Daphnia pulex: one gene and its partner. The protein of the gene in region 2 purifies or fractionates together with the protein of the main gene of each other region. This does not show direct contact. Links are inferred from orthologs where the notes say so. Each region holds a gene or a part of one and is shown on either strand. Other genes may lie near its edges.

Region 1 (2,480 bases), on a different chromosome or scaffold from region 2:
CGCCTACACCTTTACGTTCGAACTTCAATATATCGTCATTACGTTCGTCACGGCCGGAGCTGTAGGGTAATAAGCTTTTTTTTTTAAATATTACTTATGTGTTCTAAAAGATTTCGTAACATTTGTGATAATTTGGTTAAGGTTCTTTATGACTGGATATCTGCCTGTTGGATTCGAGTTTGCAGCTGAATTGACGTACCCTGAGCCAGAAGTGACGTCGTCTGGTTTACTGAATGCCTCCGCCCAAGTATTTGGTATCGTCTTCACAATCATCGGGGGTTGGCTCTTGAGCAACTACGGCGATTTGGTCTGTAACGGAAGTTTGTCGGCAGCACTATTTTTCGGCGCTGCTCTATCGCTGTTCATCCGTTCGGATCTCAGACGCCAAAGAGCCAACCAGATGGAAGCGTTTCGAGCAAACGAAGCTATCTAAGTGTCATCAATCGACTCTCTGAGCTTCACCAGTAAGAGCTTTGCCTGTCTCCAAGAGATGCCACATTTGCCTCACGCAATTTCGAACAAGTTGATTTGCTTATTGTTATAGATATGTAGTTAGGTAAACTTTGTGTCACTGTATTATCTGCCATTTCAAAATGTTGCTTCCTTCAATGTGATTGGCTGCTGCACAAAGTTTGCGGCTATACCGTGAATCCGTTACGACGATTTCAATGGGGGAAAAAAAAGTAAAGTGATTGATAGTTATAGACTGTATGTATACTTATATATATAGCTTATAGCCTCTCTCTTTCGGTTCCGGTCTAAAAGAGTTTACATTTCTGTGTTATTACTAATGTAGTAAAATTGCTGTCTTCCGTACAATGCAGGGAATGGAAAGCAAAGTTCAAACCCAAGTTAGCTTCATTACAGAGTATTATGCATTCGATTCTTTATGAGCCTTTGACGTTAAAGTTGTTTTCACTTTTCACCACGACCCATTTTAAACTGACCAAATCATTTGGTTTGGATGATGTGACAGTTAACAATTATTGCGCCAAATAAAATCTAATGCCACCACGTTCACGTTTTTTTTTTCACCAATAAAAAAGAAGGGTGTGAAACCCCTCCCCCGAAAAAAAAGGTGGGATCCCCATCAACTACTATCACTTTGCTATTGTGGGCTTGCCACAACATCAAATTTTATTATTTAAAAAAAAATACTTAGCTTATTTCCCAAAAGGGGTTTGGGGAGTGAATTTTATCACTGATATGAACAAAGAACAAAGTTCATGAAATAAATTACCTCTTACTATGAGTACGAGGTTATAAATTATAAATTATAAATCTTGACAACAATAAATAATTTGTTTATTTATCGGCAATTCGCAATTCGATTTGGCGCTTCGAACTTGGTCTACGTTACCACGACTTGGCAACGCTTTTTTCTAAACAGCTGACGAAAAAGCATGGGCGGAAGTATGTTGGAAAAAGGGGACGACATTAATCGAAGCAACATTTTTCAACGGGTAATTTGCGATTGTTAGAGGTAAAATTCCATCACTATGATTATTATCTAACATTCTCAAGTTACATGATGCTTGATTTCCCTTGCAGATATAAATGGTGGCATTTTAAACTCTGTATTATGGTACGAAGTTTTTGAATGAGAAGACATTGATCTTACGAAGTTATCAAAATGTTGATGTTCTGTCCCACGTGTGGAAATCTTTTGGGTGTTGAAGAAGGACCCAAGTGTTTCCGATTCTCTTGCCGTACTTGCCCTTACGTATTCAACATTAATCGAAAAGTTAGCAGCAAATCATTCCCCAAACTTAAGGAAGTGGATGATGTATTAGGAGGAGTTGCTGCCTGGGAGAATGTGGATTCCACTGAAGCAACTTGTCCCAAGTGTGACCATTCAAGAGCTTACTTTTTGCAGATGCAGACACGATCTGCAGATGAGCCTATGACCACCTTTTACAAGTGCTGCAACCACGAGTGCTCCAACCTGTGGCGTGATTAGACACAACCTGCCTTCAAACCCCCACTTTCTTTTTTTCATGTTAAACTCAACTCATTATCGCCTTTAAAATTGTCAAATGATCAACCCAGTCATCCTCCTTGGGCCCAAGAACTCCGCAGCCATCCTAAAAAATGCAGTGGAGCTTCTGAAATCGGGCAGTGTGATTGCTCTTCCAACAGACACTTTATATGGGATCGCTTGTCTGTCCCAAAGTTCAGAAGCTTTGAAAAAACTTTATCAAATCAAATCGCGAGACAAGAATAAACCGGTTGCTATTTGCGTGTCGCAAGTTAGCGAAATCGCCAAGTGGGGACACGTTACAGTAGATGAACGTCTACTGCACGACCTTTTACCTGGACCCGTCACCCTTGTGTTCGAAAGAAGTCCTGCCTTGAATCCTGAACTCAACCCCGGAACTAAACTTGTTGGCATTCGAATTCCGGACTCTTGGTTCATTCGTCAACTGGCAAATAGCTGTGCTGAACCTTTAGCGTTGACTAGCGCCAACATCAGCGGATCT
Region 2 (4,339 bases):
GACGGCCTAATATCTTCACTCGTTTTTAGTTGGCGACGTTCTAGTTTTGTCATCACAGCAAAAAACAAAAATTTTTTTTTGTTGTTTTTGGTTTGGCTGTGAAGCAAAAAATGAACGAAGAAAAGAAAACAGTTGAGGGGATTTCAACCGCCCCAATAATGGGAGACTTACCGGCATATAGTTGCTACGCAGGGATGACGTGTAGGCCGACGATGATGAACCGCCATAGGAGCTACCGTAGGAGCCACCATATCCTCGTTGACTGGAGTAGTAGCCTGCCATTGCGTAATCGTCTTCTCCGGATCCGAAGAATGAAAATAGGAAACGATAGGGGTTCAAAACCGAAATAAAAATGAATAGACAATCATAGGCATAAATTTATATGAGGCATTCTCTTACCCAATTTCTGTTGTCCAGCCAAGTCCAAATGAGAAAAAAGATCTCCCTAATTAACAACTTCACGATCGGCCCAGATGGGGGAAAGGGGTCTTTTGATTGAGGGAGACGGTTTTTCTTTCGTCCGGCCACCAAGCAGAGTGCGTCGTCGACTGTACTTGTAGTGAACGTGGAGATGGAAAGCGACCCGAGTGCTCTACGTCCGAAACAAAACTCTTCCACAAGCTCGCAAGCTTCCACAAGCTTCCACGAGCACTAAATTTAGATGCCACGGTCAATGAGAAATAGACTTAAGAGAAAGAGAGAAAAGAAAATAGGAAGAAGAAGAAGGGAAAGAGAAAGGGAGAGGAGATAAAAAACAAAACAGAATACACTTCTTGTTCTTCTTCCCATTTCCTTCATCTCATCTGCCTAGACTTTCTTGGCACCACCTACGCATATTCCACAATGGGCTAAAACGAATTGGCGGTGTAAACAAAATGTGAGAAGGAAGGAAGAAGAACATTAGAAGGAGGAACATCTCGGTTCACATCCAAAACAATCAAAACCTTAGGATCCAAGGTCAATAAGAGGCTACTACAGCTTATCTAGCAAGTCTAGCGCCAACGTTTCGTAAAACCAGTAGCGAAACAAACAGAAGCCATTGTTGCAGAAGGCAAATAAAAATAGCGATGGAAAGGAACATATGAAAAAGGATAGGTATCCTTCCGTAAAACCAGGAAGAATTAGTTGCTCGCCTCCACCCCTCAAATTTTTTAAATAAGTCTTCCCTTCCTTCCGTTTGAAAAGCTCCGGTTTCGGTTTCTAAATGCAGTTCTGGGTCACTCGGCTGGAATCCTGGGTGATAACTATATCAACGGCACAAACGCCTCCAGGTGAACTAATAATGCGTAATCGTCATGAATCAACGCGTCTATTTAGGATACCATTCCTACAGTCCATTCTTCAATTCATCCAAAAATACACGGCATTTTTGTGACAGGATCTTGGCGGCTTCAGTGAAGAGGACCTCCGGCGCCAGTGCTCCAGTAGACTCGATGTAAACTAAACACATTTTCAAATGCATCGCTAAAGTAAGGAATAAGCAAAAATCCAATAACAATACTTACAGATGAAATGGTCGCGTGCTCGGGTCAGCTTTACAGTGTCCTCTTTTAGATCTTCGTGACGGAATACGTTGCGGCTGCAGATGTCATATCGGGCATCGTTGACTTTGGCAACCTTCTTTTCACCTGAAATAGAATAAAAAGGTAGTGCTTCACACTAATTAAGCTAGAAGAAAAAATATAGTATGTAGCAAACCTGAGTCGACCAAATCAATAACCCCAGGGGAAAAGCACTTTTGTAATCTTTGGGCAGCTTCACCTTCCACTTCCTTAAGAAGTTTCACTTGTGGTAGGAGACGGTAAAATGCGGTAGCTTGAGAAAATAGAAAAATAGTTTTTGTTTAAATCTCGGTCCAAAAATTCTTAATCATAAAAAAAAACAATAAAACTAACCAACGGGTGAGAATTTTGCATGTTCTCGTCCGGTCCCTTTCATTGCGTGCAATTTGATGTCAAGTTCGTGACCAGGTCTCATTTTTGCGATTAGAATGTTATCGTCAACTGGTCCAACTGCATCAGGGGTAAAGATATCTTTTTGGCCACCCAGTGGAATCCATTTCAAATGAGATGTCAAAACTGAAAAAAGTAGGTCAGCATTCTGTCGAAAAAAAAAGGTTTGAGTTTCCCTTCTTACCTCTGAAATCCCTGTACAAGTGTTCAGGATTTGTATGATCTTTAGTCCTTTGAGGATTCCACGAACATTTCACTTTTAACTCAAATTCAAGTGTATCTTCAGGAGTCCCAGTATCATCATCTAAAATGAGAGATGGGGTAACAAAGATTCAGTTATATGAAGTAAGGTGACAAAGAAAAGAATGGGTGTTTGGAGTATACCTTCAGCTCTGAATTCAAACAATCTTGGGTCAGCTTTCAATGGTATCAGTCCCAGTCTGTGGGCCAAGACTTCATCTTGGATGATTGAGGTATTGTTGAACATGAAGACTTTGTCGAAGGCCATGGTGGGAATATCAGACAGCAAAATACGACGAAAAGCATTTGGTATGGCTGGATCAACACCAATCAAATCAAACTCCATTTCCATATTTTCCATGCGGACAATGTTAATTTTGAGCCTCTACAAAATCAGAAAAAATGGTAATGCTCTCTTTTTATCTACTTATAGTGTAGAACTTTTCTTAGAAGAACCTTTTTGAACTTTTCAAAACTCCAACTGTCGTCAAACCCATGATGATTTCCTGGGAAGTCTGTGGCTTCAGCCTAAATAGTTATTTTTATTATTAAATTTGGTTGAACTTAGGAAGATTTCTGTTATGTAGTATTACATTAAGAACTTCGAATTCTGTCAGCACGAGTTCATTCCTACTTTCATCAATGTATTCCTTGCTTGATGAATATTTAACTTTACTTTTACTCATTTTTCCGTTGAGCTTTAACACGTGTCTGGACGAGGGAAAAATTGGCAAATAATGACTATTGTGAAAAGTGTCGTCTGCTTTTATTTATTTTTAAAATTTACTGCAAGATGTCGCCACCGTCTCGCCACCGTCTCTCAGTTTAATTCAGTTCAAATCGAAACCGCTTTTCTAGAAAACAAACGGACATATATTATAGGGTAAAGGTAAATAATAAGAAATTAAATATTATTTTGATAGCCAATAAACACCCTCCTCTCAAAAAAAGAAAATCCTATTTCCAATAGTATTTCAAGGAATTTGTTGAGTTTTTATATTTCTATTTTTTCTGAGGCAAATAACACATACACGTTAGACACAGTAACTGTACACGATATAAACAGTTAGCTTGGATGTTAGCGCGATACTTACGGTATAAGCTGAAGTATATTCGGCGTATCAAACAGTCCGAACTAAACTAATACGTCAGCATTTTACAGACATGTAATGTATGGGTAAATTATTTCTTTCGGAGGAGAGAGAATAAATGGGGCATTTATCCTGAGACTGAACCATCTATGAAAAAAAAAATGTATTCGTCTTTGTCATTTATTTAATTTTTTGTCTTATTCTTTGAAAGAATGTATTTGGACATGACAGCAATTCGTGAATTGATTTTGCTGTTATCGTCGCTTGAAGCTGAAGCCCTTGGTGTTCTACGTCTCGAATACGACTCCGGTTCTGCTGTTGCCTGCGGGATCGGTCCTCGATCAGATTTTCCTGTAATTAAGAAGTTCATTTGCAGGTAACAAAAAAAATTACAATTGGTAGAGGATGTGGTTTACCTGCTGCGTCTTTTTCCAAATCCGAATCCTTGTTAGTGGAACGGCTAGACAAGTACATTGAGTAGCGCTTATCGTAGACGGGCGGATCGTAAGATGAAGAGTCGACCGGCTTTATCGACGACGGCCTGGCATACGAGCTGCTGTAGCTAGGACTGTAGCTATCAGAGCTGTAACTTGAGCTTCTCTTCTCGTAATCCTTATCATCGTTCAGATAGCTCGAAAAGAAACGAGACAAACTATTGATATTCATTAAATACCATCTGGTTCATTTGCGTGAAAATTTGATTTGTTCGTTACCGAGTAGAGGGTTGGGTGTTGGTCTTCGTGGCGAAGCGATTGAGCACTGACGAAGTCGCCTCACGCAATTTGCGTAAATCTTCTTCGATATCCTGAAAGTGAGCTAATGGTTTGTTAATTGATCAAACAAAAATGTAGTCAACTTATAGAATCAAAACTTAGAACCCAACGGTAATTTCTAATAATTTGAGCTTATTCTATCAGCTATAGAATAAAACTATTTTTAAGATATGCTACGCTATGCAAAATACGTGGGTGGTTCACAAAGCGCTCAAATAAATTTACCTCTAGTTTCATGACGGGTTCTCCGTTAGCATCATCATCCAAACACGAAGCGGCACTG

What was found.
Region 1: the proteins of DNA-directed RNA polymerases I and III subunit RPAC1-like (region 2) and DNA-directed RNA polymerase III subunit RPC10-like purify together in Homo sapiens (affinity purification with mass spectrometry; 4 studies listed by BioGRID and IntAct, counting the BioPlex papers as one, with this or other methods). This does not show direct contact. The link is inferred for Daphnia pulex from reciprocal best matches to the Homo sapiens genes POLR1C and POLR3K.

Annotation. Positions count from the first base shown.
Region 1 is NC_060019.1:12,453,025-12,455,504, forward strand, and holds DNA-directed RNA polymerase III subunit RPC10-like, read left to right. Parts: upstream 1-1,633; coding exon 1,634-1,960; downstream 1,961-2,480. Other genes in the region: feline leukemia virus subgroup C receptor-related protein 2-like, read left to right, coding at 1-66, 142-433; yrdC domain-containing protein, mitochondrial-like, read left to right, coding at 2,037-2,480. UniProt on the Homo sapiens protein: Core component of RNA polymerase III (Pol III) which synthesizes small non-coding RNAs using the four ribonucleoside triphosphates as substrates. Can mediate Pol I proofreading of the nascent RNA transcript.
Region 2 is NC_060020.1:1,790,063-1,794,401, forward strand, and holds DNA-directed RNA polymerases I and III subunit RPAC1-like, read right to left. Parts: upstream 2,943-4,339; 5' UTR 2,879-2,942; coding exon 2,786-2,878; intron 2,721-2,785; coding exon 2,649-2,720; intron 2,578-2,648; coding exon 2,337-2,577; intron 2,257-2,336; coding exon 2,137-2,256; intron 2,079-2,136; coding exon 1,896-2,078; intron 1,816-1,895; coding exon 1,699-1,815; intron 1,629-1,698; coding exon 1,506-1,628; intron 1,441-1,505; coding exon 1,328-1,440; 3' UTR 1,323-1,327; exon of another isoform or gene 1,294-1,322; intron 1,245-1,293; 3' UTR 410-1,244; downstream 1-409. Other genes in the region: sodium/potassium/calcium exchanger 1-like, read right to left, coding at 172-282; uncharacterized protein LOC124192222, read right to left, coding at 3,468-3,634, 3,700-3,935, 3,997-4,088, 4,282-4,339. UniProt on the Homo sapiens protein: DNA-dependent RNA polymerase catalyzes the transcription of DNA into RNA using the four ribonucleoside triphosphates as substrates.